4 linked regions of the Mytilus edulis genome follow. The protein of the gene in region 3 purifies or fractionates together with the protein of the main gene of each other region. This does not show direct contact. Links are inferred from orthologs where the notes say so. Each region holds a gene or a part of one and is shown on either strand. Other genes may lie near its edges.

Region 1 (7,115 bases), on a different chromosome or scaffold from region 3:
AATGTTTGCAAGATAAATTATTTTAATCATAAACTTTGGATATAATTATTTAGTTTTAAGATACAGTCATGCATTTTTATGCCCCACCTACGATAGTAGAGGGGCATTATGTTTTCTGGTCTGTGCGTCCGTTCGTCCGTCTGTCCGTCCGTTCGTTCGTCTGTCCCGCTTCAGGTTAAAGTTTTTGGTCAAGGTAGTTTTTGATGAAGTTGAAGTCCAATCGACTTTAAACTTAGTATACATGTTCCCTATGATATGATCTTTTAAATTTTAATGCCAAATTAGAGGGTTTACCCCAATTTCACGGTCCACTGACATAGAAAATGATAGTGCGAGTGGGGCATTCGTGTACTGGGGACACATTCTTGTTACTTATAATATAAATTGGAATTAATTTGTCAATTTCATTAAAATTACTTGGTTGACAGGTATAAAAGGGCGCTTCAGTGATTCCCTATGTAATCAACCATATTTGAAATAATTGACAGTAAGTAGTCAGTAGTAAGAATTTGATAGTACATGTACTTGGCTAATGTAAACTCTGCAACTCTATAAATAAGAGAAATATAATTATTACTGTGAACTGCAAACACTCGACTCATAAAATACCTTAATATAAGGGTTTGGATGGGGTTAAATGATTACAGAATAATGCCCTTAAAAAATGAAGATTAGAGAATAACGGGCAAAAAAAATGAAGATTAGAGAAAAAAGGGGTGAAAATTAAATGTTTACAGAATAACAGACCCCCCCCCCCCCCCCCCCCCCCCCCCCCCCCCAATCCTGACCCTCTTAAATTTTACGGGAACCTGTGTGATATCCAGCAATGGCGGACAAATAGCGATAAGGTGTATTGTATTGTAACTACATGTATATGTAAAAAAAATGTTTGTATCTATGTATCTATGCAAATCAATATTCTTTTTCCTTATTCATGTATGCTCTGTATGCCCCTATGGGCCCTTAATTGGAAATAAAATATGTTCTGTTCTGTTCTATACAAACCTGGTACTCCCATTTTTTTAAAAATTTCCACTTAATTCTTTTTAAGTAAAAAGCAGTGTTCTAGGATTCCCATTACCCGTTACCCGGGGTAAGTGGATTAGGACAACGGGTAAGTCATTTTTTAGCCTTTGTCACCCGGTGGTAAGTCAATTTTCAAGTTCGGGGAAGCTGAAAAACTCTTGAAATTTCCCGGTCCTCTTCAATTTTCCCATATCTGCTTTTTATTTTTATTAAATCACGAGAAAAAACTTTGATAAAAGATCGAAGATTTTGTCGATGTCTATCGGCGCTTTTATTCAAGCACTCGTTTACTAGGTGTAATCAAGCGCAAAAGAGACCACATTCTTCTCCTATCATTCTAAAAGTCGGTCACGGTGTCGGTAAAATCGGAAAATCCGGATTGATAACTGGTGCTTAAATCGGGACATAAACAATTTTTTTTCTTGTCATCGGAGGAAAATAAACTTACAGTTGCATTTATTATAGCTCTTAATAAATGACATAGTAATAACTATAACATATTTGTCAAATTTAGTAAGAAATCGTTTTTTTTGCGCCGTCCGCATTGGTTGGCGGATTTAACTTTTAGATGTGGGTAAGTAATTTTTTTATGGCACTGGCTACGGTTACATGGAAATGTAACAATAATAAAAATATTATTGTTACATTGGAGACTAATTGCCGGAATGCAAAGTTGGGTGAGGAACCGATTAATTACAAATGTAACAATAATTACTGAGGCTACGGTTACATTACGTTATTGTTACATGAAAAACAGAAATGTACGCTAGATTGATTAAACTTAAATCTTCTATAGTTGTTACGTTATTGCTTCATTCTTTCATATGTACAAAACAATACTTGTAATTTAATACTGATAAATAATAAAATATTATTATTCAACAAATGGTGTACAACTTGAATAGTTTTACTACGTATTAATGGTTTTGATGTTCTTAAAGATACTACTCAAGATTATAGGAGTGTGACTGTCAAAGGTGAAAAATATAGTTCAATGGTTTCACTTTTTTAAAGTATTTAACTGCATACCTACTCTTATTACTGTCATTATACTTTGGACCAATTTTGTTTATGGTGAAAAAAATAAAACTTGGGATGCGTTTTAAACGAAACTGAAACTGAATATCAAGACATACATTTCATACAGCTTTATAACTTGACGCAAATTGATAATCAAAAGCAAAGTTTGCTAACTGTAACTTAAATACTAAGAAATTCTGTATGTATCCGTGGAGGACGTAATTTCGTTCATCAATAATGTGTCGGACTTTAAAAACAACTTACTGAATTTGTAGAAATTGTCATTGTAAATAAAAAATTACAGTAAATAAATTGTATGTTATAAATGTATGTAATAAATGTCCTCAACTTTTATTATTTAGTACAAATTACTAGTCCCATCGTACATTGTTTTTTTCCCCCATGTAACAATAACGCAATGTAACCGTAGCCTCAATAATTATTGTTACATTCGTAATTAAACAGGTCCTTACCCAACCATGCATTCCGGCATTTAGTCTCCAATGTAACAATAATATTTTTATTATTGTTACATTTCCATGTAACCGTAGCCAGTGCCTTTTTTTATTGATCTTACCCGTGGTAAGTCAAGGTGCCAAAAAAATCCTAGAACACTGAAAAAGGGATAGGTTTTTCTTTAGTCATTTCTACAACAGCAATATAGGCCCTTGTCTAAGGACAATCTCTCTTTTAAGAGGTATTTCGATCTTTCTTCTTTTGTAGGAGAGGGGGGGAGGGGGTCCCAACCTGTTTAAAAGTTAAAACTATGGTATCACGGCACAAATGCTTGCTATGTAAGTATAGTACTAAAAAAGGACAATTGTGTTACCTTCATTTGCAAGACATTCTTAGACAAGTTACCCCTTTGTCCTGACCCCCCTGCCATGGCTGTTTATGCTTTTCCCTTTCAGCCTTCACATGTGGCGATGTGCGTCTTTTAGAACCGGAAGTTGATGAAGACATGTGGCCGAAACTGGGACGTTATCTCGGTCCTTAAAAACTTCGGTCCATTCACCGTGAAGTTTCGCAAATATCAGTCTTTTTGTAGGCAGTGGTTTTTTTGTTGGCTGTGATTAAAATTGGTTGCAAGATGAGGCGTGGGAGTTATTGAGCACATAACGGGATACAGTAAAACTTCTGGAAATGGTTCAACGAATGTGTTGCCAGCGCTGCAAAAATCAAGTTCTGATATTAAATTACTGACTTTTAATAACCCGTATCATGCAAACAACTGGTTTCAGAATAGAATAGATTAAAAAAGAATATCTTTATTTCCCAAATTACAGGTTCAATAAAAGGCATAGAATCAGCTTGACATAATTGATTTACAAGTGAAAATAAACATCACAGTATACATGTAAATGCAGTGTATTTAGAATATTAGCATGGTCAGAATCTGAGAGCCAACGACTATCTATATTATGAATACAAGTACACAATAAAATAATAAAATTACATTACAATCATTAATTCTCAAATTATTAACCAACTTAGTACCTGATCTCCTTTATTCAAAACACTCAGGCTCTCCAATATATCGATCAGCCCACTTTTTTTCCATAAGCCTGAGATATATTTTCTTGTGTCATGAGCATTCAAAATTTGGAGGACTTATTAAAGTTTTTAAAATTATAATACATTTTAGAAATATATTAAACCAAAATATTGTCTTTTGATAGGGCATTCCGATAAAAAATGAAGCTCATCCTCAACTTTACCATGTGAGCAATTTAAACAAAGACGCTATAATTTTTTTTAATAGTCTGTCCAAGGACGTATATATATAACTTACAATAATAATAATCTAATATACGTCCTTGGTCTGTCTTTCTCCATTCTTTAATATTTCTAATTTATCTTTTTTTTTAAATCCTGTAGTCAGTCTAAATATTTTTCTTTCAGTTTCAACTATCTTTTATGAAAATATGTCACCATGCTTCCCTCGGCAAGTTTTCAGTCTGAGTTAACTATGTGATACGTTTATAGTCTATTCCAAACTTTGGAATAAAGTGTATATAAAAGAAGATGTGGTATGATTGCCAATGAGACATCTCTCAACAAGAGACCGGGCCAAATCGTACAGAAATAATAGATTAATATACAAAAAAAAACTAAACGAAAAACAAATATGTAACACAGCAATAAACGACAGCCACTGAGTTACAGGCGCTTGACTTGACTTGGGACAGACACATACATACAACATGTGGTGGAGTTAAACTTATGTTAGCAGGATTTTGTTCCTCCCCTAACCTGTGACACTGGTGTAACAGAATATCATAAGAGCGTACTATAAAAATCATTGAAAAGGCTCAACTCATCAGATGGATACCAAAAGAAATATACCTAACAAAAACACATATATGGTGGACGTGACCGGGTACTTATTCATCCTAACAACAAAAAGACACTAAAGGAATTACCAGATCGATCTGAGAGTACTTGCACTGAGTTACTGACAGTTAGTTCAAAGTCAATAACAACTAATAAACAGAATCATGCATCCAAGACAAAATCTTATTTCTAACTGTTTATTTCCGATGCAAAGACCCTATGAGAAAATCAAAATTAACATCGAAGTATGCCATCTTTAATGACCATTCTATTTTCTTTATTCTTTCAAACCATTAAAGACGAACAAATTATCCTCTGATATTACTAAAACCACTACTACTGAAATCTCATCACAATACTCAGAGAAAGGCTGTTCCAGTTTGTGATTGTATGTGGAAAAACGATTGTTGGCGTATTTGTGTTCTGCAGGATGGAATTTGGTATGAGAGTGTATGCATATTCGAGCTGGCATATTCTGGGACTGTCTGAGCGGTTGAATTAGTCTGTATATTTTTGTGATTGCAATGAGATGTTAAGTGATTTTACAAAACAAGACCAGGCGTGCATCTGTTCTTCTGTGTGCGAGGTTTCTCCATTTTAAGTGATCTATCAGGTCACTAACGCGTGAGGTGTTTCTGTGTCGGTTAGTGACAAATCTAATAGCCTTTCTTTGTACTTTTTCTATTTCATTTATATCCTCAGTAAAGTAATGATCCCAGACTGAACAGGCATATTCTAGTGATAGTCTGACTAGAGATTTATATGCTGGCTGTTCCTTTACTTAGGTGGAATTGAAGTTATATGATTTTTTTCTGAGAAAATCTAGTGAACTGTTTGTCTTGTTACAGGTGGTGTTTATGTGACTATGTCGTTATAGGTCTGATTGAATGTATAATGAGTACAGTGAATTGTATGCGAATTTATTTTATTTCGCCTGATGGACATAACATTACACTTGTCAGGATGAAAAGCCATTTTCCTTGTATTTTTGCGTGCTAACTCCCCCAGGAGGGAGACGTGGCTTATGTTTGTCTGGTCCACTTGATTTTGATGGATTTAAATTAAAAGGTATTTTGGAGATACCTTGGATGGTTACATATTGATGTTTTGCAAGGCAGGGTAAGCTGTTTTCTGTTGCATGTACCAAGGATTTGTATAGTAAGAAGGTTCTTACTATACAAATCCTTGCATGTACTGATTGTTTTCAAATTCACGATAGCAGTGTTTTTGTTTGGTTCTGAGAAAACTGATTGAAACTGCCTGTTGAGTTCATCAGATTTCTGTTTTGTGTCTGTTACAAGTTCCCCTTTCTGCTTTAGTGATGTAATTCCGCTGTAGTCAGTTTTTTTGCTTATGCTATAAGACCAATTTTTTTTCATGTTGAAAATTTGTTATCATTTGTAAATAAAAAAAATTGGATGCAAATTGTATTACAATTTAAATACTAGTATAGGTTCTTTAGTTTTATTCAAAACGTAGTTAGTCCCAGCATACATTGAAGTGCATGAACGCAACAATAACACAATGTAACCGCAGACACAAATATTATTGTTACATTTGTAATTATTCAGCCCTGCATTCCAGCAATCAGTCCCCAATATAACAATAACTTTTTTTTTTATTGTTGAGGCTACATATCAATGTAACAATAGCCAGGCAGTGCCAATTATAAAAGGCACTGACTACGGTTACATGAAATGTAACAATAATAAAAATAATATTGTTACATTGGAGACTAATTGCCGGAATGCAAAGTTGGGTGAGGAACCGATTAATTACAAATGTAACAATAATTACTGAGGCTACGGTTACATTACGTTATTAATATTGTTACATGAAAAACAGCAATGTACGCTAGATTGATCAAACTTAAATCTTCTATAGTTGTATTGCTTAATTCTTTCATAATTATGTACTAAACAATACTTGTACTTTAATACTGATAAATAATAAAATATTATTATTCAACAAATGGTGTACAACTTGAATAGTTTTACTACGTATTAATGGTTTTGATGTTCTTAAGCAGGGGCGGATGCAGGAATTTTCGAAAGGGGGGTGCTAACCCAGGGCAAAGGGGGGGGGGTGCAAGGGGTGCAAAACATATGTCCCGATACAAATGCATTGATCGGCAAAAATAAAGGGGGGGTGCGCACCCCCGGAACCCCCCCCTGGATCCGCCACTGTTAAGGTACTACTCAAGATTAGGAGTGTGACTGTCAAAGGCGAAAAATATAGTTCAATGGTTTCACTTTTTTTTTTAAGGTATTTAACTGCACACCTACTCTTATTACTGTCATTATACTTTGGACCAATTTTGTTTATGGTGAAAAAAAAATAAAACTTGGGATGCGTTTTAAATGAAACTGAAACAATATCAAGACATACATTTCATACAGCTTTATAACTTGACGCAAATTGAAAATCAAAAGCAAAGTTTGCTAACTGTAACTTAAATACTAAGAAATTCTGTATGTACACGTATCCGTGGAGGACGTAATTTCGTTCATCAAAAATGTGTCGGACTTTAAAAACAACTTACTGGATTTGTAGAAATTGTCATTGTAAATAAAAAATTACAGTAAATAAATTGTATGTTATAAATGTATGTAATAAATGTCCTTAACTTTTATTATTTAGTACATATTACTAGTCCCATCGTACATTGCTTTTTTTCATGTAACAATAACGCAATGTAACCGTAGCCTCAATAATTATTGTTACATTCGTAATTA
Region 2 (7,598 bases), on a different chromosome or scaffold from region 3:
ACAAAAGCCTATGACTATGTCACTATGTCTATTGTTTTAAAAGTACAATTTACACAACGTAACGTTATATTTATTCCTGTTCTTTCACTTTCTAATTGTTGACGTCAACTTCCGCCCAGCAATTGTTTTTATAGTTTTGAAGTGGGAAGCTGTTTCATGTACACGTTGCAGAATAAGAAGATTAATAGGTTAATTTGTTTCATCTATACTATTAAACGAGAAGACCTCATTTTTGGTGTCGCTTCTCCTCCTTTCACAATAAATTAATCATCATGCCTCTGTGTCCTATAGGTAACATGTATAGTCGCATTTGTCATCCATTGTTATGATCATTAAGTTTGGGTTATTTGGGATAAAAAACGAAAAAGAATGCGTCCGGATATTTTCCCGTCATTGAACAAATCTTTAAGTCAGATTAGACTTCCGTTTTGTGTTTTTCTGTACTTCGAACATACAAAGACTATGAAATAAAGTATATGTATTTGCTTTCTGCTATCATTTTGAGTACTAGCATGTATCATCCTTGCTTAACGTGTTTCGGTTTGGGTTATATTGGGAGGAAAACGAAAATGAATAATATTTGCTATTTACTATCAATTAGTTTACAGTGGCGGATCCAGAACTTTTCATAAGGGAGGGGGCGCTGACTGACATAAAAGGGGGGGGCGTTACTCTCATGCTTCCCCATATAATTAACAATTTTTTTCCAACGAAAGGGGGGCAGGGCCCCCCATCCCCCCTCCCCCTGGGATCCGCCTATGGTTTACTATCAACGGCGGTCACTGCGGATATATTTCTATATACTTACATACATTTACTATAAATTACTGTATTTGTTATAATTTACTATAAATTCCAATGGTTATCTTGTGGGGGGGGGACTCTTTACTATTCATGGCGTTCACTGATGTATATAAGTACCTTTGACTTTTGATACCTCTCCTGAAATTCTCTGTATTGAGTAATTAAAGTATATATATATGCATGTTCATAGAGTACAGAAAAACAGAAGGTATAAAAATCGGTATTTGGAAAATAGGAGGAGGGCAAAAAAATGTGCCCAGTCCCTAAGTACATTTGAATTTTGATACCTCTCCTGAAATTCTCCAGTCAGTATATTTTTTTTACAGTTTACATACGCTCTATTTCCCCGCGATTTCGCGGGTGTGTTCTAGTATTTTATAAAAGGTAAACAGCATATATTTTACACACTATTTTACTGATCTCCGCATCAGGTTCTAAATATATACTTTGCCCTATTTATAGATCGTAGTTTCCCATTTCAAATATAGCGCAATCGGCAATTCAAACACATACACGTTGGTTGTTCATTGGTTATTATTTATTCACGTATTATTGTGTGAATAAACTGTGTTGTATATTTATTATGTATTGATAATAAAGTATTGTATTGTTACATGTTGTTTGCATAAAAACGTAACTGCCGTGTAAAGTTGTGGTAATTGTTTAATGAGACAAATACTTGTTGTGAACCCCATGTAAGATTTTACCCGCTCGGACCCAATTGATTTATAAATAAGGAAGTTCACAACAAATGCATGTCGTTCTATAACCTGGTCGTTTCGTACCTGGTCGATTCGTAACTACGTTGATTTGTAACTGAGATGTTTTGTACCTGGTGTGGTTATAAAGTGTTAGTTTAAATTAATTAATTTAAGGTGGTACCTAACACTAAAGGGAGATAACTCTGTAAAATCAGCAGAACGTTTTAATGACGTTGCGTTCATATGGGAATATTAAGCTTCTCATTGATCAAAATAAGTGTTTGTCAAACTGCTATATAACCAGTGTAATTTTTCTGATTAAACGGTTGGTTCAAATTTTTTGAATTTCTTATATTTTTGTCAAAGGGTCAAAGTAAACACTTTGTCAAAATTTAAAGAAAATTAAACGAGCCAAATTAATTTTAGTTAAAGTGTTAGGTACCTCCTTAAATGAAACAGTTAAAGTTATTATTTATAAATGATCAAATTGTTCATCCAATAATAACAATATTGTAATGTTTTTAATTTAAAACTTTCTTAAATCTTTTAAATTATTGGTTAATTGGTACGCTCAGTGACAGCTTTAATGTTTTTATGACAACTAATGACAGTTAATAAAAAGTAATTATGGTACGTGTAAAGTGATTAAGTTGATTAATGACACATGACCTATGGCACACGACCTAAAAATAATTATTTTCTACTTTTTTCTCACTTTAACATGCCAATGCATAACCCTCCTCCTTTTTCACCCAGACTTGGGACCGGCGTTGACGGAGTTAAAGTTTTTATTTGATTTTTTTATAACTCTTATTTTACTCTATTCCTTTTACTTTCTCTCAGAGACATCACTATGTTGTTCTTTGATTGCATGTTATACTGGCATAAAGCCTTATTTTTCATCTGAAAAACCCTGGTATAAACATGAAACAAGTCTTAGTTGACCAGAGCAGCAGCAGCAGTTGGTCCATATACAAAAAACAAGAAACATGAAAGAAACAACTTATGATAGAAAAAAAAATATTAATATAAGAAAGTCGGCAACATAAAGATGAGTGGTGTAAGTATTGGAGACATCAAAGCACGTGGCAGAAGACTAAATACTTTGACAAAGACGGGGTACATCTAAATGATGGACAATTTAAATTCTTCTGTTCTATCGCATGTGTGCAAAACTGTAATTGTAAAGTGTAAAATTATGTGCAATCAATTATTTAATAAATAAATATAGATATATATGTACATCAATAGGTCTTTTCATTATTTTTTTAGTAACCTACGACTCATATTATTATATATTTGTAGGACTCTAAAGTGCGATGGTACTCTAAAGTACGATGGTCACGCTAAAGTGCGATGGTCTACGCTAAAGTGCATTGGTGTCAGACGCTAAAGTGCAATGGTTGTTTGTTTTTAAATGAGATCAGATGACATGCTAAAGTGCGATGGTATGCCACGCTAAAGTGCGATGGTGTAACTGGAATGGTGTTCAGGCAATGTCTTTTGTTTTTTGCGGTGTTAATATTAGTTTTTGTATATTGTTTATAAATTATGCCGTTGTTTTTCTCTTTTGAATTGTTGTACACGAGTTATTGTGTGGTTTATATAACTAGCTATTCGACTAGAGCCGATACTCCACGCCTTGGATCATAAGTTATTAAGTGCGCACATCTGCAACATTTTGTGTTTGGTGAATAATTGTTTCATTGGCATCTTCTTATTTGTTTTTTTGTTTGTTAATTGATTTTTTTCTGTATAAATCAGTCCGTTATTTTTCTCATATCAATTATTTTGCAATGGTCGTTCTGAAAACCTTTAGTCATAAATCTACTATTTATCTGCTGGGTTAGCCATACGATTCCAGTTTAGATCTAGACTTGTGTCATCGGCAATCATATGATGATACTTCATAACTGCTTGGTATGTCACTATCTTGTTGATGAATATCCATCTCTTTCACAGACATGACAATACATATTGTACAAAAATATTCAGGTTATAGAATAACTCAATTAGAAATTTAAAAAGTAGCTTTTATTCCAAGCAAGTTCGATTATAAACATAGAAGGAGTTTCTAAATTAAATTTGAACGAATTGAAATACTTTGACACTTGGTGTATTTTGACTTTTTCTCTCTTTTACGGTAAGCACCTTCCCCTTACTGTCATCAGTTTTCTATGTTGATGGGAAAACACAGCGAGTTGAAAGGTTTTGTACGGTGGGTGATTTTGTTGGAAAAAAATCCTCTGCATACAGTCTTCTATATCACCTACTAAAAGTGTTTTGTTTCATTTATATCTCTTTTTTTTTGTCTTGTAAAAAACCTTCATAGGGAGCCACAAATATTCTTGTTTACCGGCATGTCAATTTTTGTATGTTCAAATTGGCTTCAAGCGTCATAATGCAAACATTCACACTTTCGCGAACAAACACGCATTCATGGAAAAATGCACTTTATCGTGTCATGGCATCGCACTTTAGCGTACACCATCGTACTTTAGCGTGACCATCGCACTTAAGCGTCCCCATCGCACTTTAGAGTCCTACATATTGATATAACAGTTTTCTTAGGTTACAAAACATCACAGGTACTAAACAACCTAGTAAGTTAGGAATCGACTAGTTACGAAACCGTCAAAGAAAAAAAATATAATAGCCTTTCAAGACGTCATAATTATTAGGACTACAAAACGACCTGCATCCTTCACAACATCTGATTAGTAAATAAAATAATTAAATGTCTACAGTATGTGGTAAAATCAAGGATTTATATAATAAAGATCAGCAATATCCTTGTTAAAATTGGTAACCCTTTCACTTTTTCCCCTCCACTTTTATTGTTTTAATATAATTAGTGCAGACAGAAAAGACAATAACAGTCATGGCAGTTTTCCAGGTTTCACAAGTTGGGTAGGAAAAAAAACTAAAGTTGTCATTTTTATATGGTCTAGACCATGCATTTCATTTGGTGTTTCAAATATGTGAAATGACAGTAATACTATTAGTGAAATTACTTAGATATCAACTCAACATCATCAATTTGTTGTAAAAGTTTTTGTTTGGTGCTGATGGAGGAAGCCATGCTGAATTATTCGACCAATAAATTATGCTGATAGAGTAGGAAACATTTATGAACCAATCGAATACACTTTCACATACAAGAAAAGGAAACCGGAAGTGAATGTCAATAAAATCAAAACAAACTCATCATGAACAACAAATTTGATGCGTACGTAAAACATGCATACATTCATAATTGACCAATTATATTTAAAGATCTTTAAGTAAATCGCATGACACCTAGCCAATCCATTGACACATTTTTCCGTAGGGTCAATTTTTGTTCGGCAAAAGGCATAATTTTGACGTCATCAATTTGCCCAAACACGTGCAACTTATGAATAGTCACCAAGTCCAAGATGAACAGGTTACATTTATTAGCGAAACTAATGAAAACTGCAATTATTATTTTTCTTTAAGGTATCATAAAATCCGACCATGGTACTTTTGTTTCTTCGTGTGTATAATTTAAAAAAAAAAAGTCAACTTTGAATCAAAAATATGTGTCAACAGCTGTTTAGACCAGACCTAGACTTTACAGTATCCTGATAAGCTAGCACTGTACATTTACATTACTGTTACAATGAATGAAATTGTAGGACAGCCTTTCAAGCTGAGATAAATCCAGTGCTTTGTCAGACATGTACAATGTACAACAAGCCCAAGTTTGTCGAAGTAAGGCGTCAAATAAAAATAATATAATAGCCTTTCAAGACGTCATAATTATTTGGACTAAAGTTTTGCATGATACATTGTGTCATTAATTATGCCTGTGTCACCATAAAGTGCATTTCAGAATTAATGTTGTGTGTTTCATGTCGCGATGAATATTTTAGAAAACATTTTAAAAATTTTGAGATGTCATATCTGTCACTATGACATTGTATGACAACACATCGTTTGTATTCAATTTCAGATGAATTATACATATATAATATGCTATAAGTATAATTATTCAAGTAGTACAAGTTTGAAATAATTCTTTTGTTTATAGCTTGAAAACTTTCTTTGTCATACATGTATATACAAATGAAGCATACATAGAGTGGGGTGCTCGTTTTCGCCGGGGACACAATTTCGCCGTTTAATGATTTTGAGGTGTAAAAACTTCAAAGGATGGCTGAAATGGAAGAAATGTACCCGTAAATTATATTTTTATAACAAATATAATATTTTTTTAAACTGAGACAAAATTGCGGCTCCTACCGAAAATGACCGAAAAACGGACAACGATTTTCGGACAATTTATATTTCCTGAATAAAACACGATTTCAAAGAAGTATTTCTAAGTAAATATTTGACTGAATGCCCTAATTTTGAATTCTTTATACCTTTGAAATGTCTGCTGTTCATCTATAATGCAATTGATTTGATAAAAATTGTTAAAAGCTGCGGTTATTTGGTTTTAAATAGATGTGTAAAAACGGCGAATATGTGTCCCCCATTGACAAAACATCCGGAAATTTCAAACACCCTTTAATCTAACTTTTCAGATGATTTTTTAAAAACAAACCGGTTTTCAACATGTTCAAGCTTAAGTTTATTTTGCATTTGAAGTTATCTGCATATAGAAATATCAGTATACTTCAAAAACATTTAGACCTGAACATAAACTGTAGAAAACATGGAAAGATGTGGCGAAAATGAGCACCCCACTCTATATGTCTTTAGAACATGTAGAATGGTCTGTCGACAAAGGACATCTATAGATAACATATTTCCCTAGTGCAGCAAAAGTGTTAATGAAATAAATTTAACTTATCTAAATAATTTAGAGATGCGGAGTAGATAGCAATTAGACCGCAACCTAGCGACAAAAATAATCAACACCTAGAGATCTCTGTACAGTGATCAACCATAGCATTAATAGCCCAATGCCAAGTTTTTATTTTTTAAGCTGTGAATAAATTTATAAAAAGAAACTATCAAAGATATGCCATCAAAACAAATTGTTATAATATATACGAGACTTATAATGGTTTACTTTTTTTTAATTGTTATTTGGATGGAGAGTTGTCTCATTGGCACTCACACCACATGTACATCTTCCTATATCTACTAAGAAAAAAAACACAAATATTTTACATAGGACAATCACATTCTCAATTATGGGCTTTAACATTGATATGTGGTGAGTCAATCTTGTATTTTTTGGAATAACACCAGTTAATGGATCTTACATTTTTGTCAGTGGGTGAATACACCTTATCGCTTATCCCGGCTGACCCGGCCGCTTGAACTTTTGACGCATACAACAATCACTTTTCCATTGTGGCGTCAGATATTTTGTTTTTGTGACGTCAAAAATTTACGGGAACCTGTGTGATATCCAGTAATGGCGGACAAATAGCGATAAGGTGTATAATTACACTAACAATTTCAACTCCAACTTACTACATGTATCATTATAAAGAGGCTGAGCATGTCAAGTACAAATGTATAAAGGATGAGTGTAGATATATATATCAACAGCAGGCTTATTTATTTCTGAATGCACTTTTGTCAATTTTGTTACAGTCTTTTGTTGAGATGTATTGTAGTTATGCCATATTTGTGTTTAGAAACTGATTTTGAAATACATAGTAAAAGTATGATACATGAGTGGTGGCTTTCCATTTTGACTTAATTTGTTTATTGTAGATTAAAACAAGAGGATAGCGGTGAGGATGATCAAACAGAACAGAAAAATGAACAAGAAGAAACAGATTCTCCATTTAAAGTTCGACCTTCACCAGTAAGTCTTCAAAAGATAGTTTATGACAACGATTGGAATGTTACCATGGTTACATTTTGACAATTTGATAAAATTTATATTTTATAAAGAGAGACAAATCAGATTATGGTCTCTTCTTAAAAAAAAATGTCCAGCTAAACAACATTAGTAAATTGTTTTAAACAAACAAACAAAAACTCAATTGAACAGAAAGAAATTTTTTGACTTTTTTTTTTAAATGATTTGTGTCATAATTTTTTTTTTATCCAGTTTCAGTACATTTTATTAAGTATATGTATGCATAGTTGATGTAAGATGAA
Region 3 (7,740 bases):
ATGATGTGTAATAATGAAAGTAATACCCAAGACAAGGTAGGTGTTTTTAAGGAGATTTTGGGTAAAAGTCAATGAAACAACAATCAAACATCACAATCAAAATTCAAGACAGATAAAGATATTGGAAGTCCATTTTATACAAAGTATAAGATTGATCAGAAGAATATTTTTGGACAAAAAAGGTACAAAATCTGTAAATCTGAATTCCTTGAATGTCATAAATGTGTATTGAAACAAATGCAATTTCACAAACAAGTCTTTGTACAATTTGGAAATTAGTATGGCGTTCATTATCACTGGACTAGTATATATTTGTTTAGGGGCCAGCTGAAGGACGCCTCCGGGTGCGGGAGTTTCTCGCTACATTGAAGACCTGTTGGTGACCCTCTGCTGTTGTTTTTTATTTGGTCGGGTTGTTGTCTCTTTGACACATTCCCCATTTCCATTCTCAATTTTATTTATATGATCAATGAAAGTATATCAATGATGCTTGTATAGTCAAACAAAAAAACTGCACAAATAACATAGTTACAGTATAAAATAAATTACAGTATGAGAAAAAGAGCGTTTGTAAACAAAGAGCTTAAACATTGATTACCATTTATTTCAAACAAATGCTAAAGAATTGTCAAAGTTCAATTATTTTCAAAAAATATTTCTAAACTTACACAGTGTTCAGCTGTCTGTGTAAAGATTATTCCATGAATTTCTGGTGCTTCAAAAACTTCAAGGTATTCTCTGGCAACTTGACAATCTGGGATTATATAGTGTGTCACGTTTGAAGGTAGCAAATCAGAGTCATCTGCAAAGAGTTCCCAGTTTTGTTTACATTAATAGCATGATTAATATTAAACTAAATATGATTATAGGTTTTAATCAAGTATCAAATTCTTTTAAGTTTTAGGTACTTAAATCTGTTTGAAGACCATACCAGGCTGCATTGCCATTTCCCAATAAAATAATATCTACAGAGATTTTTTAAAGTGTAACATAAATATAAAAAAAATTCTATGCAGAATATGACTACATGCATGACATGTAAAGCAACTATATATATATATATATGCTTAAGACAATACAATATGAAACAGCAAAAGTATCAATCAATTTTCAGTATTCACCATGCAAAACTTTATCCAAGATTATGCAATTCAATTAAAATAATGAAAAGTAGAGACAAAAAAACCCTTCATTTTAGCTGTAAGACACAATAGTGGTACATGTGTACTAATAAATCTTATCAGGCAATAAAGAAGCAACATACAAAACCACAATCTCATTTTATTTTTATAATCACAGTTTGTCTGAAAAGATTTACATATATGTAAGATATTTTCATCTCCCTCATCAATACCTTTGATTTGTTTACCATTTATTTAAAATCTCACCTATTCCCACATTGCAATTTCCAAGACATAAACTACTCTGACATGGTATATTTTCTCTCCTATAGACTTCTCTTACAATACTGACACTCTTCCCCTGGCTGTTCTTCAACCTCAAATAACGATTGTCTTTATCTAGAGACTCTGCTTTATTTTCTATGACCATTTTTAGGCTGTCTACATTATCAAATTAACTTTATCCTGAAGAACAAAAATAAAATATGAAAAACCTTTTATTATTTAGAACTATCTTGTTGACCTGAAATTCATTTGTTCAGGATAATCATTGTTAGCTGAGATAATCTTTTATTTCAAAATACCCTTGAACATTGAATTATTTCATGATGTGACAAAAGGATAATTCAAAATCGAAGAAACCAAGAAAATTTGATGTCACAATTAAGTTATGTAATGACCAATCAATTGCAGAGAACAGATATTTCACTAGTGAGGAGAAATATTTTTCTCACACTGCTCAAGAAATGTGAAAAAAGCATGAAAAATAGAGAAATCAAATTGCTTCAAAGCACTGAACCGTAAAGATTGCTTTAATTTATCAGTGGGAAGTAAAAATAAATATTGCATTGGTTGTTGTTGATTTAAAACAGCTATTCTAGACAAAGGAAGATGACTCCAATTTTTAAAGATGATGTTAACAATGACATAATTTATATTTTTAGAACAGATTTTAGATTCCTGCACCTTGCAAACGTTATGTAATTTTCTTGACAAGTGAAACATCATTTTGTGTCTTGAATATCTGAGCATATATCTCGTGGATAAATTTCTGGAAATGTTCATGATTTATAGTATTTATAGAATGTTATGGTTAATGCACTATATTTTGTGTACATGTATCAAAAAAAGCAGTCTTCACGCTGAGTGGCAGCCCAGGGCCTGTAGATTTAGCAGTTCATCGTGAAGACTGAAAAAGTGATCAATTTTGGAACATTTAGATATCAAGTCAGTCCCATATTATGCAATTTTTACCTTAAAACAATAGATCAAAGGAAAATGCTGTCAAATATGTATGAAAACATGTGAGTCACATTTGTGAGTCTTACGCTAACTGTATGAGACTTGATGTATCTGTTTTTCTTTATTGTTGTCTTGTCAATAATTGGGCATTTGGTTTCCTTGTCTTACATGTACATGTCTTATGATATGCTTAGAGCTTTTGATAAAAATGGAGGTTGTATGGCAGCACACATGTACATGTACAGTGATCTACAGTTCATGTGGACTCTGGTGGATAGTTGTCTCAGAGCCAGAGGCAATCATCTCGTGAACATCTCCTTCTTTTCAGTTTAACCATAGCAAGTTAGATGATAGTATAATATAGGCGTATCAATTTGTGAAGCATATAATTTCAGATATGGTTACTTTTAAGTACTGGCACTTGTTTGTTTTCTTAAGATTTTAAAGGGCCAAAAGTAAAGAGGGTCTTTACCATCACATGAAACAAGTGCCTGTGCTTTTGTCTTGAACCTGAAACTAAAGAATCAAATAGTTCACTTTAGTTGTTTAACCTCCTCCTTCTGGTTAATACTACAATGCATATGCAATATGACTATACTCACTTTAAAAAAAAAAACTTTGGGGTACATTTTGTGCATAGGGGACAGAAATGTCAGTTTTGTTTTGTTAATACAAGATTTGTTGCGCGGATGTTTACTCCTTCACGGGAGCACTCTATTCGAAGAAACCAAAGTGGTATTTAATCATGAAATTGATATTAGGGACCAGTAATTATTTATCTTCAGTGGGGCGGCAAAAAAGTAGTGGGTAATGAGAAAATTAGATCTGATAAAGGGGGGTCATTCTTTTTCAGGTTGCTCAAGTAAGGGGGGGGGGGGGGGTCATAATTTGTTTGGCCATATATGCATTGATCGCCATATACCATGACCATAGACTATTAATGAATAGTTGTTTGGGCCCTTTAGAGCTAACTTGTCTAGTTTAACTCTTTCACAAATGTCAAACTGTCACTATCAGTAAAACTAGTCACTTTACTTTACTATTTTACTTTACTCTTTGACGGAGCTAGTTATATTGTCAAGTGACTAATAAATATTGCCAAAAAATGTGCAAAATTAGTCAATTTTCTTATATTTTTCTGAGATGTTATAGGACTAAGAAACTAGGAATAGAGACTACAAAATTGGTTTCATAATCCTGGTTTCACCACAGCAAACATAGACTTTGCTTTTTTGAAGGGGACCCCATTTTTATGTTTCAAGATGAACTCGTATATTTTACAAACTGTTGTTTTAGGTGAACACAAAATATTCTATATAGACTTTTTCAAAGCATTTTCTTCTTATTCTTATTCCGTATCTCAAATATACCTCATGTAGAATATAAATAAATATATGAATGATTTGTTCATTGTCGAAGACCCTCCGTCTTCTACCAGAGTGGAAGGCAACAGTTTTGAAATGAATCACTTAATTTATACAAGAAATTATTGAAAGACCAGGACTGGCTTCATTTCAGCTGGGAACAGTATATATATGTTCCTGATTTCAGCATCTCTAATTTTGAATAAGACATCTGACATTCTATATGAATACAATTAAAAGTAATGCTCAGTATATCAAACAAAGTTCAAATTTTTACTCTTTAAAACTGTAAATGACAAAATCATAATCAAATACTAGTAAACAACTTAAACTCCAATTAGTGTTGAGTTTGACGAGATGGTGCATATGTAGTAAAGAGAGGAGGGTTTAACTTTTTTAACACATTTTGAAAAGGGGCAATCATATTTTATCCTTTCAAATTTAATTACATTTTGCCGCCCCCTCCCCCTGGAGATAAATAATGACCGGTCCCTTATGTAGGTGTGATAATGAAAAAAAAAAAAAAAAATGAAAGCAACACGCTTAATAATTTCTTGCGTCCGAAGCGCTTTTCTGGATTTACCTTCATCAGAAACGCTCAAAGTCAAACATTTGAAATCCGAAGATGTACAAGTAACGAAACCGTTGAAGAGCTATATGTCAAAATTACCTAAAATAAATAGCCAATTCATCTAAAGCAAACTTTGCCTGAGGGATTTGAAACCTTAATTTCTTAAGAATTTCAAAATTTATAAACGGACAATTTTAGTAAAGTTCATTGGCGGATCCAGGGGGAGGGGGGTGTCCGGGGGTTGGAACCCCTCTTTTTTGGACGATCAATGCATTTGAATGGGAGCATATAGTTGGAACCCCTCCTTTACTCTGGGTTGGGAACCCCCCTACCCCCCTTTTTAAAATGGCTGGATCCGCCACTGAAGTTTGTTCAATCATGTCAGTACCGAAATTATAGACAGTTCTCATATTTAAAAGATTTTTTTTTATATCTAAAAGTGTTAATGAACTTTGCATGTTAAGCCCCTTGTTCAGGGCTATCGGAGAAGATGCAAAGTAGCACAACATTATTAGCTCACCTGTCAGCTTAAATTCTCATTACTTGGCGTCCGTCGTCTGTCGTCCGTCGTCTTCCGTCGTCCGTCGTCCTCCGTCACTTTTACAAAAATCGAACTGCTATAGGCCAAGTTAAACCAAACTTGGCCACAATCATCATATGGTCGATTTGTCCGATGTCGCCGACAGATAATCAAGATGGCCGACATGGCTAAAAATAGAACAACAGGGATAAAATGCAATTTATCTTGCTTATTTTTTTGAAAACAGATATGAATAGAGAAAATCTGAAGAGGTCATAAATGTTTAGAACGTTGGGCTCTACATTCTATTTATTTGTGTCAAAACTGTCAGACGAATTCTTGTCATGTTGTAGGAAGTATCGCCTTTAGATGATGAATTTGTTTTATTTTTTTTTGGCTATTATCTCGAAAATTGCAATAGATCGATATAGACAGGCACTTTGAAAAACAAAAATGATCAGCAAGACAAGACTTACAAATAATTCAACACGGCCAAAATATATAAGTCACTCCTTATTAGAGGATTGTCCTATAATGACGACTTTACACATTTTTTGTTTTGTGTTTTTGCATAATATCTTAAAAACAATATCAAATAGATAAATACTTTAAATAGCAAAAATTATCAGCAGTAATAGATCTGTAGATAAGTCAACATGACCCCAATTGATAGTCGTTTCTCTATTTGAATTATTGACCTTTAAAAATGATTTTCTAATTTTTGCCTATTATCTTGAAAACTGTATTAGATAGATAGAAACATTGAATAAGACAAATGATCAGCAAGACAGGATCCACAAATAATTAAGCCATAATTTTATAGCCGAAGTCATCCGTCGACTCATCAATGGAGTTATTGTCCTTTTATGATAATTTTGTTTGTATTTTTTGCGTATTATCTTGAAATCTATAATAGGATAATCAAAACTTTATATCAGAAAATTACCAGCTGGATAAGGTTGACAGATATGTCAACATGAGCAGAAGAACCTTTATAAATTCATTTCCATTTTATGTTTGCTTTTGTATGCTTTGATTTGTTTATGATTTACCGTGCTTTCATAACAGTATAGATCATAATCTTATGCTTGCTGTGCTTTTATTACAGTATAGATCATTAAGTTATGCTTGCTGTGCTTTCTGTTTTTTTATGTCTGCCCTGTGTTTATTATATGTATGCCTGTTTAAAAATAAATCTTGAGGATACAGAGCTTACTATTTTGTACTGTTATATTCATACCAGACTTTAAATGAATCTTTTGTGTATATGAGGCAAGGGTTATAATCGAAAACTTAGACGTTTCTTCATTTTTATAACTCGTGATCGGACTTTTAAATTTAAGTGGGCTATCACTCAAAGTTGCGAATAGCGAGCTCAAATCATATTTACATCGAGTATTCATTTAAAAGTAATAAGTAAAATAATAAAAATACTGAACTCTGAACACGAAAAATTCAAAACGGAAAGTCCATGTTCAAATGTCAAAATCAAAAGATCAAACACATCAATCGAATAGACAACAACTGTCATATTCCTGACTTAGTACAGGCATTTTCTTAAGTAGAAAATGGTGGATTAAACCTGATTTTATATCTAGCTAAACCTCTCGTTTGTATGATAGTCGCATTCCATTCCACTATGTTGTCAACGATGTGTGAACAAAACAAACAGACATAATTAAGGTAGCACAATACACAGATTTTATACCTCCAATTCACCAGTTTTAAAATGCTGTAACTTTCTTTATAATGGTTGGAAATTTATAAAAGTGGTATTTATGAATAGCTAACAGATTAGTCTTTCAAATTAATGCATTTGTTAGTATTATACAACAATTATGTAATCAATTATAATGTTAACTGTGTCTACAAAATGTTACAAGAAATTTCCACTTTCAATTGAAATTAGCTTCTTCATGGATATCCCGGGAGGGTTGATTTTATCATATGTTGTTCCTAGAGCCATTATCTAAAAAAGAGTGTCTCAGATTTTGGATAGAATGTATAGATCACATTTTACACCTAATCAAATATTATCTACTTTTATGTGGTAAGGATGATTACACTAATTAGAGATTTATGAGAGAATGGAATATTTTAGCCATAATTTGAAACACCCTTTTGTAGCTCCTGTTGTTTTGATTAAGATTTCGTTAAAATTTCCTGAATAGTTATAGAGATGATAGAGCTAAATTCATTCAAGTAAACTGACCAAGATTTTGCCATTAATTGTATAATAATTGATTACATATTGATTGCATAACAAAAATATTGCATTTCTTTTTAACGATTAACCTTTTTCTGTCTATATATATACCTCCTTTATTAATTTATATGCAGTCTTTAGAAAGTAACAGCATTTTAAAGGTTGGAGATTGGACGTAAAAAAATCTTTGTATTGTGCTACATTGATAGGTGAAAATATCAAAAATAGGGGTACAGCAGTCAACGTTTTCTTGTTAAAACAAGAATGTGTCCTAAGTAAACGGAGGCCCCATCCGAACTATCATTTTCTATGTTCATTGGACCGTGAAAATGGGGTAAAACCTCTAATTTGGCATTAAAATTAGAAAGATCATATCATAAGGAACAGGTGTACTAAGTTTCAAGTTGATTGGACTTCAACTTCATCAAAAACTACCTCGACCAAAAACTTTAACCTGAAGTGGGACGAACGGACGGACAGACGGACGGACGAACGAACAGACGGAAGCACAGATCAGAAAACATAATGCCCATAAATGGGGCATAAAAATGAATTTCTATCGGTTTCTCTTCTTTTTTTCAAACTTGAGCTGGACAGTTATTTAAATCAATGATTTTCCTACAAATAAATTGTTTTTCCTTCTTTCCAAGCACTATTCATACTTTTTTTTTATATGACAAGCCTGTGAACATGGAATCTTTAATCGGTTATTGATA
Region 4 (7,117 bases), on a different chromosome or scaffold from region 3:
AAGTTGATAAAATTTTTACCTCGTCCTCTGCCTCTCTCTATACCGCCTCTTCCACCCCTGACTCCAGGAGGCCCCCCTCGTCCAAACATTCTTAGTACTGCAGTACTGTTAACAGACTGAGACATTAACCGCTGAAAAAAAGCAATAAATAAACGGCTTAAAACTATTGCCTGTAATTTAAAAAAAAATCAAAGAAAGAAGCATAATGAATTTTGTAATTTGTTTAATTTACAAATTGAAGAAAATGGCAGTGACAGTCTTCATGATAAACTTTTGCAGACACAGGTCCAACACAAATTTTTTGATTCAATAAGTCTGTATTAATACTTTTTACGTATGGGAAAGTAATTTTATAAGCCTTAGATGGAGGGACTGTGTATAAGTGTGATAAAATATTTCTGGCATTTATTCTGAAATGATAATTTATTGTCATGATATTATGGATGTGAATTTTGACACAAACAGATTAGCTTTGTAAACACTATAGAGATATTTTTTTCCTCAAAACATGGAAACAAATATAAATAAGATTGAAATGATGCTACAGCAAAAAAATATGTACCTGCTCTTCCTCTGATAGAGACTGCATGGTGATGGGCTCCTGTGGCTTTTCGACATATATATATGTGAATTTCTTTATTTCTTCTAGGGGCTCTGTGTGGTTTGGATTGTTGAGGGCTAGCATTTCTTCTTTGCCATAACGGTAATCTGCTAGCTTGTACTTTCCAATAATTCCCGGTGAAGGGGGCGGAGTGCCAGGATTGTTTCCATCTGATAGGGCTCTGAGCCTGGATTAGGGAAAGGTTAACAACTTGTACATTAAATGTATTTTCATCAAAATGCATTTTTACAAGATATACAAATAGTGGACATTTTGCAAAATGCAAAAACTGCCCCCCCCCCTTTTAAAGTAACGTTTTAGTTCTTCCTGGTACCTTTTTCCATTTCAAACCCAAGGGAAAAAAATGGTTTTGGTAAAAAAAATATATGAATATATGAAAATTATTGTAATTGTATTGCTTCAACCATGATGTTCTTGTTCCTGTCTATATTAAAATTTCTGAAAAATGTAAGTTTACTAGCTGAACTTAAAATTGTTATTTCATCTTTTTGGGTCACTTGGTTACCATTACCATGGTTACTGTCTAAATGATGTATATGCATTCTCAAATATGGTTCTATGTTTAGAGCTATCTCTTGCAGATATTACATGTACAACTACTCAGCTAGCCTAATTATTCAATCTTTCTTCTGGAAATTAGAAATGAAAAAACAAACTGAAAAAAATTGTTTATTGTCTTTTTTTTATCAAAATGTTTTAATTACAGTAATGTGATTCGAATTCATGTCTCAGAAATTTAAGACTTAAAATTTCAGACAGATTGTGGCTTACAGTGCAGCTCCTTTCTAAAACAATTTCCTGACATGTAAAGTGCAAAACCTTTTTTTGTTAAACATATATATAAAAATAATAAAGTAAGATTTTTTACTTACCACTCAGGACCAAAATTCAATGTATCTGCCATTTCTATTTAACCTACAAAATATATATGAAAAAAAACATTTAAACTACAAATGTTTTGGACAATACCCTTGCAATTATGTAGCCTGGCATATGTGCAATAGGGTGCCTCATAGATAAAACATAGGATAAAAACATCCAATTTTAAAATGGAAAACAACCTCCTCAAAAGTCAAATGAAGACAAAAATATTTTGAGCCAGAGCAACCTCCTTAGCCATGCTGAATTTTAGAATGTCTGTTGGAAGCAAAAAAAAAACAAAATTCATCAGTTAATATTAAAATTGATCTAAAAAAGTTATTGTATTTTTAATACTGAAGATCCATTTTTCATTCTTAATGTTAAATTTGTGCCACTGAAGAACTGGAACATGACTTTATCTGAGTCACAATTTTGGTTGTTTTCAGTTACATCAATTCATTTGTAATTCCTGTCATGCAATTTTCTTATGATTGACAATTTGTGAAAGTTTTTATTTGTTTTCAGTAGTTTAACTGTTTAATGCTTGCTAACAAATATACAATTTTGTGCTCCATAACTAAATTACATTTTTCTTGTAAGGAAGGCAGGGGCAAATCTAGCTGCGGAACCATAGCTTGAAGGTCCGCAGACAGTCAAAAAATAAAAAAGGACCTAAGTGTTCAGTTACGCAGCTAGGGCTAACCCAGTGGTTTTTAAAGAGGGATTACCAAAATCATTGGATCCCCCCTTCCAGTGGAAGCTAGTGGGTTAGTTCCAGGAATAATCTGGAAGAAATCGTTTTTTGACAATGACACATAAATTATCGCAACTGTTTGCGGACTCGTAGGAACCCTTTTAGGTTTTTGATGGTAGTGTATACACCTTATCTCTAATCCCGGCTGACCCAATCGCTTGAACTTTTGACGCATACAACAATCACTTTTCCATTATGGCTTCAGATATTTTGTTTTATGACGTCAAAATTTTACGGGAACCTGTGTGATATCCAGCAATGGCGGACAAATAGCGATAAGGTGTATTGCATTTGGGACAAGTTTGATCTGTTTACTTATAAGGCGATGGAATGGACAGTATGGGAAATTTATGAATAAACACATGTGGTGTTCCATTTTACATGGCCTGGAGTTGTAGAAGAAGAGTCCAATATATAACATTTATACATATCAGAGCGTTACAAGAAGTTTCGTTATCCGTGTTTCTAAAAATAGCTACACGAATAACAGAAAAAACATATTTTCCACATTTTTTACCATCCTCGCGATTTTAGCAGACAGTCACAGTTCATGAGAATTTGCAATTAAAATACGTCATTTTAGAGGTGACAAAGGCCTCGATTTGGTGTAAATATGTGTACCACAGATGCTTGTGCGTCTAAACCAGTGCACTGCAAGTTTACCTTTGCTATTTTCTAACTTTCTTATTAGCTTGAACACGAATGCAGTAACCAATATGGCCGTAGTTGTGTATTATGTACCACGTGATAATTGTAAAACGGAAATCGAAGTAACGCATGAAAGTCAATGAAGCGGAAAAACTGTGTCACCACAATGGTCGCACTTGTTTTATATCAAATGGAATACGCCAAAACACTTGTTAAGAGTGTGCTTGGTCAGTTACTGCGTTATATTTTTACAATTACTTGGTATCTTCCATCCGTTTCGTGTAGTTTCAAACAAGTTGTTTTCGTGTTTTCCTGTATAAGACCTCAATAGCGGTTATTGAAACAAAATGTCCTGTCCTTGTGTAGAAATATCCAGAGTGACATTTATACATTACTTTTTAATATGTCTTTGATTCATCGCGGTTTACGTGGAAAACTAAAATCATCGCGTTTTTCATAGATCCAAGTTTGAAGTTGTGCATCTATGTTAATTTTAAACTGGACAGATACAAAATTCTTTACGGTTTATTTTTCTTCGCCTTGTACAATAACCATGCGCATTCTTTAAAAGTAGGATATACATATGTATCATAAAAATGACCTGACAGTGTCAGTGTTGATTATATTGAAAATATAACAAGTGGCATTTTATGTAATAAAACCACGATTGACCGATATGGCTCATTCTTTTAGGTGATCACCAAATTAACCAACTGGGCCCTTCTTATATACCGTCCGAGTATGAGGGTGTGGATGGGGTTAAAAGAATCGACAATAATGGACAAAAGTGTTGAAGTAGTTAACAAATTGAATACGATAGTCACCCTCAATCTCAGATAATGAACAATGAGCGCATAAGCTATCTTCCCTAATCAGGGGTACTAAGGGATCATTTATTTCCCCTTTTTTGTAGCGCCTCGGCTTCTATACGAAGTTGGGGGCACTAAATCTAACTGTTTGGTTATAATATTACACTGTCTAAAATCCAAGATCATTAAATAGGATACTTTTCGAAAGCTAGTTTTTAATCTATAAAATAGAATAATATACAAGAACCCGATTCTTTTTGGTTTTAAGAGTCAATTTTTTTTTTGCCAATCTCTCTCAGGAATTTTGTAGCATAGTTATACTAGTATTCTAAACGTTTCCTTGCCGCAATTTAAAAAAAAAATGCCCTGTATATATACCTTTAGCTTATACAAGCACTTGCGCAGAAGTATACCATAAACATATATCTTTTATCCTGTTTTAAAAGTTTATATTCTGCATTAATGCTGACTCAAACAACCTGCTTGGTTTTGCGTCACAAACTAAGGGAGAAAAAACCTGCCAATAGCATCTTGTCAATTGCAGAGGATTTTAAATACCATCTTGTTCCTAGAAATTGTAGCAGCACAGTCATAGCACAATTTATAAGAAAAAAAACATCTGATAGAATCACGTTATATCAATATGTCAATAAACAACCACGACGTCCTGGGGAACACTGTTTAAAATTAAGTTGCTTTGTATTCTTAGCTACTAAGCTACTGAATTATACTTATTACCGATTTGAAATTACATTAACATGACGGGTACAGCATGTGAAGATCTCCTTAAACTTCCGGGATCAACACCGGTTTTTGGCGGCCTAAGTGTTGCTCTAAATTGTTTATGACTATGTTGTATTTTGTATACTATTGTTTGTCTTTTTGGTCGTTTTATCTTTTCTTTTGCAGAGGCGGATTTAGGGGGGGGAGCAGTGGGCCCGCCCCCCCCTTTTTGGGGAAAAAATAGGTTGCTTATATAGGGAATCACTGAAGCGTGACTGGAGCGGGCCCCCTCTTAGGTCAGTCAGTGGGCCCCCACTTATGAAAATTTCTGGATCCGCCACTGTTTTGCCATTGCGTTATAAGTTTAGTTTCAACTTCAGAGTTTGAATATCCCTTTAGTACTCTTTGCCTCTTTGTCTTTTGTTGTGTTGTTTGTTTTTCTTTTGGTCATGGTGCTGTCGTCTTCCTTCGGCTTACGGTTCATGGTTTTCCCATTGTTATAACGTTGCAATTCTTGTTTTCAGCAGTTTGATCATAACAGTGATGGAATGAGAAAAACAATCCCGTACGCGTCTTGCAATAACTCGATGAGGTAATTATCACTGAATAATTCAGAAATTGGTGATTATGTAGAGCGCATCTATCCCATAGAACTGGAGAATAGAGATAAAGAATACAACAGATGCAGTTAGTCTACCTCATAAATTGACTTACATCTAGAAATTTCAAAACCATCAAGTTCGGTTGAACACACAACTGTGCGATAAAAGAGATGATGTCAGCTTCCCAATTGTGAACTTTCCATTTCTATATAGTAACGTTCCAGCAGTCTGCATACGCAGTACAATGTATATATCTATCTCTCAATTGATACGATATTTCCGGGCTTGTATTTGCTATCCTGATTTCCTTGATAGAGGGTGGCTGCTTACAAGACAGCTATTAAACCAAAAGTTCCAAATGGTGAAGTTGAAATCACCCTTTGTAAATTTTGCTTCGCCATCGCGAAATGCATGGTTGACCGTTATTGAATATCCGTTTCACAGATGATATCGGATATGTTCCTGATGGCGTAACTACAATCCTGTTCCCTTTTCACGAATGTGACCTACCGAAAAAGATGTTTAACAGAGTTTGTAATAACATGTCTAAGCAATTCTACGGGTGCCACATTTGGAGCAGGATCTGCTTACCCTTCTGGGGAACCTGAGATCACCCCTAGTTTTTGGTGGGGTTCGTGATGTCATTAGTTTTCTATGTTGTGTCTTGTGTCTTGTGTCCTTTTATTTGTCTGTTGGTCTTTTTCTATTTTGGCCATGTCGTTTTTAGTTTATTTTCGATCTATGAGTTTGAAAGTGCCTCTGGTATATTTCGCCCCTCTTTGATAACATTTTATAATACAGATAGTGTTTGTTACGTTTTCTTTTAAAAAAAAACACCACATTTATGAGAATAGCGTAAAATTTATTAATTACAAAATTTTATATCTGCAAAGTCTGTATTAAAATACAAAAGTTTATAATTTTTATGTTTTTTGTTTTTATTTGTGGGTTTGATAAAACTAATAATACTTACGTGAAACAGAATACTTTATTTTAAAACTTCACTGTGATTTTAGCTGGGATTAATACATAAATCTAATGGTCCAAGGTATTAAGTATACATGTATTTCCTTAGCATTATTTTTGGTTTAATAGTAAAAACAATACTTAAAAATAATGTTTATATCCCAAGCATTTTTAATAATTCATGCCAATCAAAAGGTAAGTTCTCCTCCGCTCTGTGAAAGTTGAAATCTGGGACCGTTGCGTTAGAACAAAAACAGTAAAAATAGTTTATTTTACTAAAAAATAAAAAAAAAAAATAAAAAAAGTAAACATTTTTTTAAATTTGAATAGCAAACAGTTTGTTCTTGGGGACAAATACTCAGATCCTTAAAGCGTCAATGAAATTTGCACAATTGCTCTGTCTTTGTGAGCGCGGTTTTCTGTGATAATTATGACAATCTTTTTTTTTTATACTTTTATCTAAAAAATATAAAAACAAGTATCGTATGATGATTGTCAATGAGACAAACTCCAACAAAAGACCAATCGACGTATCTAAAAAAAAATGCATCTCAAATGCATTTTAGGCAAATCAATTGCTAATTTAACCATTAATCAGGCAGTCATTTCTGTAGAAAGCAGTTATTTCATTATCTGACCAATTGACTTTTAAAAAATTGTGTATCAAAATGCATATATGGTAATTAATTATTAATTACTCAAATAATCAGACAGTCTGTCCAGCAGAAACAGTTATATTTCATTTTGGACGTCTACTCTCGCCATCACATTTCAACACTTATACCTTTTGGAATAATAAGTACTAATGGCTTAATTGCAATAAAAACAAATTTCTAAATTAAGTAAGTACAGGTATTAAATTCTAAAAGACGTGTATATTACAATTAGCGATAAAAGCTCTCCATGTGATGACAGTAATATAGGTATTAATTGACAAGTATATAGACGTCCGTTGTTTGTAATGAAGCCACGCCCGGTTAATTCTCCTGGGGTGAAACGGTGGCAATACTCACAAGGCAGGTATATTTATACAGCAATTTACAGGTAAAGCCATAAATCACGACCACACGTGCCATAAGTCGGAAATAATAAAAATTGAGCAAATTGGTTTCATTTTGTGCCATATGATATA

The links.
Region 1: the proteins of DIS3-like exonuclease 1 (region 3) and M-phase phosphoprotein 6-like purify together in Homo sapiens (affinity purification with mass spectrometry; 3 studies listed by BioGRID and IntAct, with this or other methods). This does not show direct contact. The link is inferred for Mytilus edulis from reciprocal best matches to the Homo sapiens genes DIS3L and MPHOSPH6.
Region 2: the proteins of DIS3-like exonuclease 1 (region 3) and eukaryotic translation initiation factor 4E type 2-like purify together in Homo sapiens (affinity purification with mass spectrometry; 3 studies listed by BioGRID and IntAct, with this or other methods). This does not show direct contact. The link is inferred for Mytilus edulis from reciprocal best matches to the Homo sapiens genes DIS3L and EIF4E2.
Region 4: the proteins of DIS3-like exonuclease 1 (region 3) and GRB10-interacting GYF protein 2-like purify together in Homo sapiens (affinity purification with mass spectrometry; 3 studies listed by BioGRID and IntAct, with this or other methods). This does not show direct contact. The link is inferred for Mytilus edulis from reciprocal best matches to the Homo sapiens genes DIS3L and GIGYF2.

What each region holds. Positions count from the first base shown.
Region 1 is NC_092348.1:50,101,072-50,108,186, reverse strand, and holds the start of M-phase phosphoprotein 6-like, read right to left. Parts: upstream 3,009-7,115; 5' UTR 2,933-3,008; coding exon 2,876-2,932; intron 1-2,875. UniProt on the Homo sapiens protein: RNA-binding protein that associates with the RNA exosome complex. Involved in the 3'-processing of the 7S pre-RNA to the mature 5.8S rRNA and play a role in recruiting the RNA exosome complex to pre-rRNA; this function may include C1D.
Region 2 is NC_092346.1:52,327,119-52,334,716, forward strand, and holds the start of eukaryotic translation initiation factor 4E type 2-like, read left to right. Parts: upstream 1-4,587; 5' UTR 4,588-4,714; coding exon 4,715-4,734; intron 4,735-4,802; exon of another isoform or gene 4,803-4,924; coding exon of another isoform or gene 4,925-4,932; intron 4,933-7,205; coding exon 7,206-7,299; intron 7,300-7,598. Other genes in the region: mediator of RNA polymerase II transcription subunit 4-like, read right to left, coding at 4,520-4,587. UniProt on the Homo sapiens protein: Recognizes and binds the 7-methylguanosine-containing mRNA cap during an early step in the initiation. Acts as a repressor of translation initiation.
Region 3 is NC_092344.1:93,297,078-93,304,817, reverse strand, and holds the start of DIS3-like exonuclease 1, read right to left. Parts: upstream 3,018-7,740; 5' UTR 2,966-3,017; intron 1,587-2,965; 5' UTR 1,552-1,586; coding exon 1,389-1,551; intron 803-1,388; coding exon 669-802; intron 1-668. UniProt on the Homo sapiens protein: Catalytic component of the RNA exosome complex which has 3'->5' exoribonuclease activity and participates in a multitude of cellular RNA processing and degradation events.
Region 4 is NC_092356.1:18,049,399-18,056,515, forward strand, and holds the start of GRB10-interacting GYF protein 2-like, read right to left. Parts: upstream 3,009-7,117; 5' UTR 2,901-3,008; intron 1,538-2,900; 5' UTR 1,527-1,537; coding exon 1,495-1,526; intron 789-1,494; coding exon 563-788; intron 132-562; coding exon 20-131; intron 1-19. UniProt on the Homo sapiens protein: Key component of the 4EHP-GYF2 complex, a multiprotein complex that acts as a repressor of translation initiation. In the 4EHP-GYF2 complex, acts as a factor that bridges EIF4E2 to ZFP36/TTP, linking translation repression with mRNA decay.